Coturnix japonica: one gene and its partners. The protein of the gene in region 3 binds, or shares a complex with, the protein of the main gene of each other region. Links are inferred from orthologs where the notes say so. Each region holds a gene or a part of one and is shown on either strand. Other genes may lie near its edges.

What was found.
Region 1: the proteins of small ubiquitin-related modifier 3 (region 3) and SENP2 are in contact, whole or in part, in a crystal structure (PDB 2IO1), measured with the Homo sapiens proteins. The link is inferred for Coturnix japonica from reciprocal best matches to the Homo sapiens genes SUMO3 and SENP2. Residues at the interface, in NP_008867.2 of Homo sapiens: Arg55, Arg58, Arg60, Phe61, Asp62, Gly63, Pro65, Asn67, Asp70, Leu75, Asp81, Asp84, Phe86, Gln87, Gln88, Gln89, Thr90, Gly91, Gly92, Val93, Pro94, Glu95; in NP_067640.2 of Homo sapiens: Gln385, Asp386, Phe393, Lys394, Leu395, Arg396, Trp410, Leu411, Asn412, Asp413, Glu414, Ser439, Thr440, Phe441, Pro444, Lys445, Arg456, Trp457, Lys459, His474, Lys476, Val477, His478, Trp479, Met497, Gln499, Gln542, Asn544, Gly545, Ser546.
Region 2: the proteins of small ubiquitin-related modifier 3 (region 3) and USPL1 are in contact, whole or in part, in a crystal structure (PDB 7ZJU), measured with the Homo sapiens proteins. The link is inferred for Coturnix japonica from reciprocal best matches to the Homo sapiens genes SUMO3 and USPL1. Residues at the interface, in NP_008867.2 of Homo sapiens: Gln24, Asp25, Gly26, Ser27, Val28, Arg58, Arg60, Gly63, Gln64, Pro65, Ile66, Asn67, Asp70, Leu75, Phe86, Gln87, Gln89, Thr90, Gly91; in NP_005791.3 of Homo sapiens: Ala234, Cys236, Trp237, Pro321, Gln322, Leu323, Arg324, Met330, Glu331, Ser332, Val334, Phe335, Leu339, Tyr368, Thr378, Thr380, His393, Phe394, Gly395, Pro396, Asn398, Arg407, His421, Val423, Tyr451, Asn454, Asn455, His456, Phe457, His493.

The regions. Positions count from the first base shown.
Region 1 is NC_029524.1:3,359,070-3,362,608, forward strand, and holds part of SENP2 (sentrin-specific protease 2), read right to left. Parts: intron 2,843-3,539; coding exon 2,797-2,842; intron 2,561-2,796; coding exon 2,500-2,560; intron 2,360-2,499; coding exon 2,219-2,359; intron 2,120-2,218; coding exon 1,988-2,119; intron 1,703-1,987; coding exon 1,499-1,702; intron 1,368-1,498; coding exon 1,288-1,367; intron 927-1,287; coding exon 842-926; intron 589-841; coding exon 493-588; intron 264-492; coding exon 201-263; 3' UTR 1-200. UniProt on the Homo sapiens protein: Protease that catalyzes two essential functions in the SUMO pathway.
Region 2 is NC_029516.1:156,627,305-156,630,843, forward strand, and holds part of USPL1 (SUMO-specific isopeptidase USPL1), read right to left. Parts: exon of another isoform or gene 2,510-3,539; 5' UTR 2,439-2,509; coding exon 2,343-2,438; intron 1,781-2,342; coding exon 1,652-1,780; intron 562-1,651; coding exon 1-561. UniProt on the Homo sapiens protein: SUMO-specific isopeptidase involved in protein desumoylation. Specifically binds SUMO proteins with a higher affinity for SUMO2 and SUMO3 which it cleaves more efficiently. Also able to process full-length SUMO proteins to their mature forms.
Region 3 is NC_029524.1:3,983,909-3,988,058, reverse strand, and holds small ubiquitin-related modifier 3, read right to left. Parts: upstream 2,674-4,150; 5' UTR 2,552-2,673; coding exon 2,531-2,551; intron 2,405-2,530; coding exon 2,276-2,404; intron 1,701-2,275; coding exon 1,629-1,700; intron 1,206-1,628; coding exon 1,143-1,205; 3' UTR 529-1,142; downstream 1-528. Other genes in the region: UBE2G2 (ubiquitin-conjugating enzyme E2 G2), read right to left, coding at 262-304; PTTG1IP (pituitary tumor-transforming gene 1 protein-interacting protein), read right to left, coding at 3,549-3,592, 4,007-4,053. UniProt on the Homo sapiens protein: Ubiquitin-like protein which can be covalently attached to target lysines either as a monomer or as a lysine-linked polymer. Does not seem to be involved in protein degradation and may function as an antagonist of ubiquitin in the degradation process.

The DNA of each region.
Region 1 (3,539 bases), about 620 kb from region 3:
ACATCAGCTCATTTCAAAGAGAGGCACTGTCTCCGAAATTGAGGAAAAAACAGTTAAACAATACTTTATAGCTTAAAACAGGAACATTTTCAAGTGGCTGCGGCCTGGTTCAATAAGGCATCGCAGAAATAAATAATATGACAAAATATAAGTTAGTGGCTCCGAGGTCATCTGCGGCGATACTCGTAACGCTTCACGTCTCACAGCAGCTGCTGGTGGATTATTTCCCACACCATCCTCTTGCGGAAGTAAGGCATGTTTTCCTGAAAAGAAGAAGAGAACAAACCCATTAAATATGATAGCAGAAATTGACAGAAAATACATACCGTGTTCTTTCACACCAAGTTCATTTTAAGCACCGTCACCGCGGCCACTGTGAGTACAGCGTGGACTGCTATGTCTCACCCCCGCTTTGGTGCTGCAGGGATGAAACACAACCACGTTTATTTGACTATTAACAACAGCTTAAGGCAAACTCTAACTTTGGCTCACCTGAGTGAAGGTGAAGGGTTTGTCTCTGGAGACGTAATCTGCGTATTTGCACATAAAAACTCCGCAGTCACTTCCATTTGATTGCTGAGGAATTTCCTAAAGAATGGAAAGAAGGTGGAGAATTTTTTCCATCTTAAAAGAAAAGCGACTTGGAGGCAGCACCACCCACCACCACCACCACATTTTCTTGTGGAACCAACATGCACAGCCCATCCCCACACACAAGGAGTACACCCAGTGAACCACACCTTCACACCCCTTTAAAGCTTAGACTAAGTAAGAAAGCATTAAGGCCTTTGTAATGAGGAGTTAGGGGTTCACATTTCAGATCCCGGTAGTGCTCACATACATGAGGCTCCATGCTGCGAAGAGTCCACTCTGAAGATGACAGCTTGACTTTTTGTTTCTCCCAGCTTTCTTCTTGCAGGTATTGGCTGTTTAAAACAAAATAAAACAACTCTTCACCTCTGTATTTTAGGCTGACAAAAAAGAGATGCTGAAAAGACCACAGGAAGCCAAATGGCTGGACAATAAAACATCAGTGGATATTTAGTGCCATAAGGCATTTGGAGGAGCAATTCAAACTTTAAGTCTGCATACACTTCATGGTGATGCTTTGCACATGCACATACTGGAAACCCAGACATGTATCACACATGGAGGAGGTGATGTGAGAACGGTTTCTATTCCCTAGCTACAAACAAAGCAAAGGCTTCCAGTTGTGTTACAGATACAGAAACCTAAAAGCCTTCTCTGAGCTCACAGTGCAAAAGCACTGAGCGAGCAGTTACTTACAGTACAGTCTCACAAATCTTGTTTCCTTTTTTTCCAAACGAGTCAAAGTAGGTGATAGTTTTCTTTCTGACATCGACAACCTGTTAATGGAAAGTAACCATGAGACACCCCACAAGCCTATGCAGCAAACAGAACAAAAGCTGGCCGACATTTCTTGCTTGCTTGCTTTCTACCTGCTTAATTCTTCAATTGAAATAAAAGCATGACTCACCACCAAGGTCCAGTGTGATCTCAGGTGAATAGGAATCAAAATGATGTCCTGGTTGAACAGATTCACGTTTCTGGTCCATCTTCTCACTGCTCTGTAGCCATCAGAATCAAGTTTGGGATAGAAGAAAGTACTAAAAGCATAGACGGTTGGATAGTCATCTTTTTTGCCTCTTTCCACCAGAAGATTCATGTAGAAGTTAACGACCTGCATGGTAAAAAGCAATCATGAGATGTAAGAGACTGCTCACCAAAATAAAAACCAAAAAGCACAAAACCAGAGAAGCAATGCTTCCAGAAGACTAACTTCTAGACCAACCCAAGAAATACAGGAGCTTCTAGAAACACTCAGCCGTTATGTACCTAAAATAAGACTCGACAGATGTTTATAAGTTCTGCAGACCTCAAATAACTGCAATCAGACCTGTATGCATTGAGGACATTTAAAAAGACATACACAATGGGAACATCACAGTGCCACAGCTAGTTTTACCTCATCATTTAGCCAGCAAAGTTCATTCAGTGTATGGATGTCATCACGGGTGAGACTGAGTCTGAAGGCGCTGCTCATGATCTCCTCCCCTTTACCTTCGCCCAGCGCAGCCATGATCTCTCTCTCCATGGCCTGAAGCAAGCAATTGAATGGGAAAGAACCTGTGAGCACACTAACCTATGTTCTAATTCTAGCTTTCTAATTTGAACAACAGACTGATAATTGTGGTACCTCTGTGAGCGGAGGAAAGATTTCTCTTTTTTTAGGTCTTGGGAATTTCTTTTCTTCCACATCATAGACAGATGGTTTTTTGGTCTGAACAGGTGCCAGGTGCAATTCAAAGGAGGCCTCCTCTGAGCTTTCATCTCCACACTGTCTCAGTTAGACAAAAAGAAGTCAAGCTAGCAAGCAAATTTGCTAGGGGATTACACAAAGTCTTGTTCATGTATAAAACTGGAAGTGTGTTTTGAATATGCATCCATACTCCACATACATCTAAATAACAAGCTTACCCCTGTGCTGGCTTGTTTCTCCTGTCCTTTCTTGTCTTCCTTTTCTTCTGGTGTGTAGTAACTGCAAAAGGAAATAGAGAGAAGCAGGCTGTAGTAATATCATCCTGCATAGTTCTTATACATCCATCTTCTGGTTAAGGAATGCGTTACCATAGATCAGCTATACAAAAATCTCTCTCACTGGCTGTGCTTACTGCAACAAGACACGAGCCACATCATTGAGATGAGTATGACTATTCTCTTTCTGGACACTGCTGGAACACACAGAACAAAACCAAAGAGGAATCAAGACTCTACCTGGTCTCATCGTTTTCCAGAGACTGGCTTGAGCTGCTGTCATCATCTGCACAAAAAAGCATACAAGAAGTCAACAGTTAATGTACATCAGGCAAGCATGACTCTCAGATTATGATGGAAAAGACAAAAAAAAACCCAACAACCCTGCTAATAATAACTACAAGGTTATGAAGTTTAAACTCTGTCAAATAGGCCTCCTAGATATTATGTGAAAGTGTATGAGTTCTGATGTCCAGGATCTAAAGTCACTTTCAGTAGTTACATTCTTCAGCTTACCAGAAAAGATGATCTACAAGAGAAACTAACTTGTTATAAAGAGAGGTGCTGTGCTAATCCAGGAAAGAAGCAATCTGCTGGTTTATAGGAACTGCTGAGTCCCAGCCTGAACCACTGATTGAGCACCTGGGAAAGGACCTGGCCAGCCCGGGGAGCACAGGTGAAAGCAATGAAGCTGTGAGACTGGAAGAGGTGGAGCCTGGCTGCACCTCTCTTAGACCCCGTTTAAGGGCTGACTGCCAGGGGGGGAAAGATCCCTGGTCGGAGATCACTCCCTTGTGAGCCTACATCTTCAGAGACAGGTGAGTGCTTTTTCTTTTGTAACATTATCTCATTTCATGCTAGTCCCTTTTGCTATTTCATTTCTATATCGCCTTTCTGCTGTGTTAATCTTTCAGACTGTAACAGCTGGCTTAGTGTTCAAGCTCTGATATCATGGATGTGGTCATATTGTTCTAAGAGCCAAT
Region 2 (3,539 bases), on a different chromosome or scaffold from region 3:
TTCATCATCTTCTACTAGAGCAAATTTTAACGCTTCTAAGTGTACCAGTGCAGACAAAACACAATCTAACCAACAAAGATTACACTTGTTTCTCCACTGAAGACATAAACCTGTGTTATTTGTGGAACAGTTCTTGTCTCTGAACAAAACTTCAGATGTTGTTGAGCTGTGAGTAGAGTTGGGCAAGAGTTGTGTTCCAGAGCTAAAGTTCTTAGGCGGACTCTCTTGATGACCATTGGTGTTGGAGGTTGTTTTAAAATCCACCTTCTGATTGATGGATTCCTCACTATTAGATTTTTGTTGGCCATTTTCTAACACGTCACATACACTTGACTGAGGGATACTCAAGCTATCACCACAGTTTTTAACAACAGGGTCTGTATTAATAGTCTGCTCAACTTTTTTATTAGTTCTTGCTTGTTTTGGATTTGATTCGATGGGAGAAAGGTCATTGGTATCACACAATTTCCTTTTCTTGTCATTAGATGGAACTTGAAGATTTTCTGAATCAGCAGAAATGATTATGCTGTTAAATGGTTTGTAGCCAAGCGGGTAGATACACTACAGGAAAAAAGAAAAGTTACAATGAAATACAGAAAGCAATTTCAGGTGAACAGGAGCTAAAATAACCACAAATGATATCTTGAAATGGAATGTAGGACTTGCATGAAATGATACTTCATTGAAACGAGTACATAAATTCAATGTATGCAAGAGAAACTGAGCATTTTTATCCAAGTACTGTCTTATAGTTAACTGTGAAGTGTATCTACGAGTAGTGACTTCCAGTCCCAGTAAGACACTGGGACTGCAGAGTTCTCTCACTCTGCAAAATCCATTCCAGTAGGGCACGTATTTGATATTACTAACTCTTGCTCAAGAGATTACTAGGATTAAAACTGGCAGGGTCTCTTTCAGCTTAGCCTGCTACTTTAGACCACTAATTGGTAGGGTCATATAAATATGCAACTGGGAAAATAAAGGCAAACACACGACTTCCCATTTCCCAAGCCAACAGCTTGGTTATTTAAAAGCAGGGTGAGGGATGGAGGACACAGCTTGAAGACATCTAGTCCATTAATTCTACTAATTTAAGGGCACCATTCTACATGATTTTGCTTACCCTCCCTCCCCACACAGCAGAAGGGAGAAGCAGCAAACCACCACTCAGATATTGAGAAGCCCAGAAATCTAGCTAAAGCTGAACTTAAAATGGAATAAGTGCTGAAAGATACCGTAATTACTATTATAAACCTATATGTATTACTTAAACATGAGAAAATCAGAGACTCACAGCTCTATGAGTAAAACATTAGTTAATTGCATTTGCCAATTTTGGCTTTGCATTCTGGTTCATACAAAGATTTATTTAGCATCACTCATGTCCCCTTGTTGCGTGAAACAAACTCTACCTTATTCCTTTTAATCTGCTCTTTTAACTCTTCGGAACAGCTGTGCCCAACCGCCACACATATAGAGGTTTGCTATGTTTTTGTCTATATTACAAGCAAACACCATTCAGAATATAAAATCAAAAGCATCCTTTGTCAACAGTCTGCTTACTACCAGTCAAATCCTGAACTTAAAGATGTTTAACAGTTAACGGCAAAGGTCTCTACACCAGCAAACAAAACTGCTAACGAAGTAATACCTGAGGGTTTTCACAGAGATAAATGGACTCTTGAAAATTGATGCGGTAAGTCCGTAAAACTTGAACCTGGCCCTTCTCTTTGCAGACTGGACAATAGTCAGGTGAAGTTTTTTCCACGGGAGTATGCCCCTAAAAAAAGGAGAAAGTTGCATAAACTTACATTTGTTAGTATAGTGTCCCAAGTTAAGACATATATACACACAGAGATAGAAAAGCAAAGACTAGCTTCTAAGCATGTAACACCTAATACAGTATTAAAGAGTAAAGCAGACTAAGTTTTCTCCTTGTAAAATAAGATATATATATATATAGTCATAGTGCAGAACAATCTACACAAATTTATCTTTTGATTTAAGCGTTCAAATATGTAGTAAGGTATCTTCGACAATACAACTATGCAGCGTTTCATTCTACTTACACTAAACCAAAGGAGCCTTATTGCCAAGGTACACATGCTCAGATACTTGCTATAAGAAGTAATATACGCAGAAATACACAGTCACAGAAACAGCACCAGTAAAAAGTTCAGACACAGATCTATTTAGAATCTTTCGCCATTGTTACAGATTTCCGTGGAAAATAATTTTGAGGTTTGGTTTTTTTTAATTTTTATTTTAATTTTTTTTTTGTAAAATAAGACCAATTAAAAAAATATGAACTTTGCACAGATGTAAAATAAGTTTCAACTGACTTTTCCCAAATACCCCACCATGTGGAGTGTCGATTTCCCTATACCAGTCCCTTGTCCAATCACTCGCAAACCATTTGCAGTCTTCTGGGTATCCATCCCTCTGAGCCACTGGCTAATTTATCTCACTTGTAACAATGTCATGACCACTAAGGATTTTTCAAAGACTCCTGAAAAATAAGAAGTGAATACAACAATTAAAGAAAAATTCAGTTAATTTTATTTTTTGGGGGGGAAAAATACACCAACAGTAATGCAGCCCGTACTAACTGCAGTAATGACATTAGAAGAGTGCTTTCTTGATGCAAAATACATATTTTCTAGCACATATACTGAACTCAAAACTTTAAATTAAGTCACATACTAAACTTAACAGCTTTAGGCTATGAGTTTATAAACTTATCCACTGTCTGCATGCCCACCATCCCACTTATTTGCCACGTGTGCTATGCTGGGCAGAGATGCCTTGCCCAAGCAGCTTGACTTACTATATTCTAACTCTCAGACAAAACTAATTTCCTTTACAAAATGGCAACGAGATCTTACACAGTTACAGAAAGCTGTGGAGGAATACTAATGAAAAAAGAAATCATTAAAAGCCCAAACACCATTTCATCAGTTTTCTGAGAAGTAAAATTGGTGCATAATGAACGATAAGAAGTTTAGCTTGTAAATGTAATCACTTCCAACTCCAAAGGGCACCCTGCTGTTACTGTCACTGTTGGGAAACCTCTCCCCTTACTTTAACAGTGTCATAGACCGACTTGCAAATACAAGCTCTTCTGCAGCATCACTGCTTCATAAATCTACTGCATATTTTACAACTGACATCACACATTCCACTTTGTATGCTTTCTTGAATTCAAGGCCAATTTATTTCTTTCTCACCTATCATACACACACACGTTGGTGGAGGAAGACTTCAATACAAACAGAGCACACATCAGCAAGCTGCTCCTTAAACCTGCCTGAGACCATTCCCTCGCTGGCACTGGTACTAACAACCTGAATCAGCTAGAGAAACTGGTGTAAAACTACAAGGACCGAACACTGTTCCTGCTGATTTCAAATGGAAGAATAACTACAATCAATATATCGCACTTTAAGAGTCAGGAGGAAGAGAGATAAGTTGAACAGCAAAGTCATCAAGGTTACTGCCTTCCTTTGAGCCATAATTTCTTCTTCCTTATTTCTACTGAC
Region 3 (4,150 bases):
TACATGGAGCTGTACACGGAGCTGTGTCACACCCTGTCGGTGCCCCCTCCCCAGCACAGCTCCATGCCGTTCCCTCGGGCCCTGTCGCTGTCACACCGAGCTGAGCTCAGCGCTGCCCATCTGCTCCCTATGAGCTGCAGCTGCCACGAGGCCTCCGCTCAGCTCCTGTGCTCTGGGCCGAGCCCCCCCACCCCCACCCCAAACACGCTCAGCCCCACACCCAGCCGTCCCCATAGTCCCCAGCCCCGCCCCGCTACTCACGTTTATACTCGGCCATCAGCCTCTTTAACGCCGTACCCGCCATAGCGCGGCCCGCAGCGCCCCGGCCCCGCGCCGCTTCCGGGCGGGCTGGAGGGGAGGAAGTAGATAGGGGGCGCGCTAGCACTCCGCCTCTATGGTAAAGGGGGGGGGGGGGGGGCTGAGTCCTCCCAGCGCATGCGCAGTAGCACCAGCGAGTTGTGGGCGGGCCCTCTCAGCCCAGCTGCTCTGCTCACCCCACCCCCCCCCTTCCATTCAGGACACTTCTCGTTTGTGCATTAAAAAAGTATATTTCAGACAACTTTATCAAATCATGACAAAGCACATGTCAATCTGCAATCTTCCAAACTGTCTATACGGAGCATTGCGTCTCGCACGTACAGACCTCGTGTCGTGGGCTTCACGTTTCCCAGCGACTTCAATCAGCGTCTTCTTCCTCCTCTTTTAAAACAATGAGACTCATTAAGCTTGAGATCGGCATGAAAATAGACTTATTTACAAGGGTAGGATGGAACAGAGGGGCAGGGCTGACAGCCAGGAATGCACTCCATGTCCTCAAACACGGACAGGGTTATTTAGGCCACAGGTTTGAAAGGGAATAAACCAGGAAACAGCAGACAGACAGACAACGTGTAGCACTGAATCGGAACTCAAAAATCAACTGGGCCCAATTAAAGATAAGAGATGAATCCCTGCAGATACTGTGTCGACTTGCACACGCAGTACGTCAAAGACAACAAGCGATTTTGGGTAAATGTCCTCTAAGGTTTCCGAGAATCCCGTGTGATCGGCGTGTTCATTTGTTCACTATTTGATAGCAAATCCAAGGACAGATGAGAGCGAGGTGCGATGAGGAGCCTCTGTGCTCCAAAGGATGCCATGTCTTAGCACAGCCCGCCCGTCTGCTGCTGGAACACATCGATAGTGTCTTCGTCTTCCATCTCCAGCTGTGAGGGTGATACGGAGAACACGAGTTCACAACCATAAACTTATAATAGAGTTACACAGGTTTTGAGATCTCTATTTCAAAGCAGACTCAGAACCCAGCCATCTAAAAGCAACCAACTCAGATGTGTTTCTTCTGTTCCTCACCTCAGGCCTCGTCAATGCAAGAAAACCCTTAAATTCTGAGCGCTGACTGAGCTGGCAGCAGCTACAGCACCCAGCTTTAGTCCTGGCTGTATCCAGACATGGGACAGAGCTGAAGAGCTCAGCACTCCCTCCAGGTCCTGCCCACAGCAGCACACAGGTGCCAGTGTGTTTGGCACCATCTGTTCATGCACATCTCCCACCCCAGCCAGCATAAAACACATATGGAAGAGACTGAAGAAGAAGCACAAAATGATCTGCACTAAAAGCACCTTTCATACCTGTGCAGGTGTGTCTGCTTCATTAATCGGCTGCCCGTCGAATCTGAATCTGATCTGCCTCATGGACAAACCCTGCCAATATACAGAGTGACACATGTGAGGAACCAAACCGAGACACGTCTGAATCCAAACAAAGCACTGACTGATTTAGTGCCGGGACGCATATTAACTAAATTAACATGTAATATAAGCAGATGGGGAACTTCATGCCTCTGTTGCTGTACAGGAGGGTGCAGAGCTGCCGGATGGATGCTGTGGCAGTGAGGGCGCACTCCATTCCATCGTAGATGTCATTGATAGAGATGTTAAAGAAAACCGGTCTCAGGACAGATCCCTGGGGGATGCCGCTCGTTACCGGCCTCCACCTGGACATAGAGCCATTGACCACCACCCTCTGTCTGCGGCCTTTCAACCAATTGCTTATCCATCTAGTTGTCCACCCATCAAATCCACCTCCCTCCAATTTGGAGATGAGGATGTGATGGGGGACCATGTTAAAGGCCTTGCTCAGGTCCAGGTAAGGTCAGGTGCAGGGATGGGGCAGAGCTTTAGGAGTGTGGAAGCAGAGGAAGGGCTCCACGTGCAGCAGCACACACACACAGCGCTGCCCGCACTCAGTGCTGGCTGTGGCCCCGTTGTACACACACCTGCCGCTCGCAGTAGGCCTTCATCAGCTTGCTGAGAGGCGTGTGCCGCTTGATCTTGAACTGCACGACGGAGCCGTCCTGCCCGGCCACCTTCAGGTTGATGTGGTCGTTCTCTGTCTTCACTCCTTCCTGAGGGGGGACAAACCGGACGAGAGCGGCGATCATCGCAGTGCCAGGCCCGACCCTCCCCCCCTTATCCCCCCATAGCTCATCCTACGGCCCGCCCCGTGCCCGCAGAGCCCCAGCCCTGCTCACCTTGGGCTTCTCCTCCGACATGGCGGAGGGTCGGGCCCGGGGTTGGGTTCGGTTCGGGCCCGTCCCGCGCTGCTCCCGCCGCCAACAACCACCGACCGCGAGAGCGCGCGCCGAGCCGCGCCCCCGCCACCCCGCGCCAGCAATCCCGCGTTCTGATTGGCCGCACGGCTGATCACGTGGGAAGGAGGAGGGTGAGCGACAGCGCGCGGCGCGGCGGCTCTAGAAAGTGCGTCACTGGATACGGCCCAGTACGGCTATAGCGCCCCCCAGCGGGCGGCCAGAGAACTGCACCGAGCGCAGCACCGGCTCCTGCCCTTCAGAATAAAGCGCTCACGTTGGGATAGTAATCAAATCGATTTAATACATCTTGACCACATCGCATCAGAACCCTACCGTATTGCAATCAGTAACAGGCACCGAGCCCAGGAGATGATCAATATAAGGCACAGAGGTAGAGGGGGCTGTGGAGGGTCCCTGGATTAGTTGCAAGTGAAGCGTGCATTTAGGGCCTGCCCCCAAAGGCCCAAGGCAGCGAGAAACTGGTGCTGGTGTGTGAGTGTATGCATAGAGCTGCAGGCAGACAGGGCACCCCTGAGCCACTGCTGCACACAGGGACATGAGCATCACAATGCACGCACCCAGCTTTGCATAAGGCAGAAGGAAGACACACTAGGCCACCTCAGCCAGGCACCGTGTTGTATTGTGCTGTGCTGCCACCCCCAGGTGAGTAAAGGAGGAGTGTGAAGCCCCAGTGTTATTGCCACCAAGTTTCCAGGCACAGAGTGAGGTTCCAGCCCGGCCAGGCACTGCAGCTGATCCTGGCACTGCAGCTGATCCTGGCACAGCCTCTGCAGCAAAAGCCCAGGGCAAGCTGAGAACTGGAGTGGGGAATGGGGGGAGTCACTGAGCAGGGCTTGTGGCAGCATGTGGCACCATAGGGGGCTCCTAGAAAGCAACCCAGAGTGAGGTGGGTCTAGAAGGAGGACGCCATTCACCAGGTGGGGCAGATCCAGAGAGGCTAGTTCTCAAATTTTGCATAAGGGTTCTCCTCCTTGAACAGGCCTGGAAGAAAAGAGAGACACTGAGAGTCACTCATTGCTCTGGGTGACAATTCTTTCACTAACCATCCTCTGCTCACCATCCTGCTCTAGAGACTATTGTACTATTGTCCTCATGGAAGGATGCGCCCACACCACCTCAACTCCTACCCCTCATGGGATATACATCAAGCTCTGTGTTCAGTCCTGGACCCTTCACTACAAGGAGGATGTGTGTCCAGCAGAGCTGAGGGGTCTGGGGCATAAAGTGTGATGGGGAGCAGCTGAGGGAACTGGGATGGTCACACTGAGGAACACAGTCTAGAGCTGCCACAGACATGGCTAAATGGTTGGAGTAGTTATCCCAGAGCTCTTTCTAATTTTAAACGATTCTACAACTCTAAAGCTTAGTGTAATTTGCTACTGCAAACGACTGTACCGTATTTTCTTCGGATTTCATCGTGCCGTGACTTCATCTCTGCTCTCCTGTAAGAAACAAACAGGAAAGAAACCACGAGTGACCAGCAGAACACAGCCAAGGAGGAGCTCCAGCTCCCAGCTCCCTCCCAGGGTGGAGGGAGCC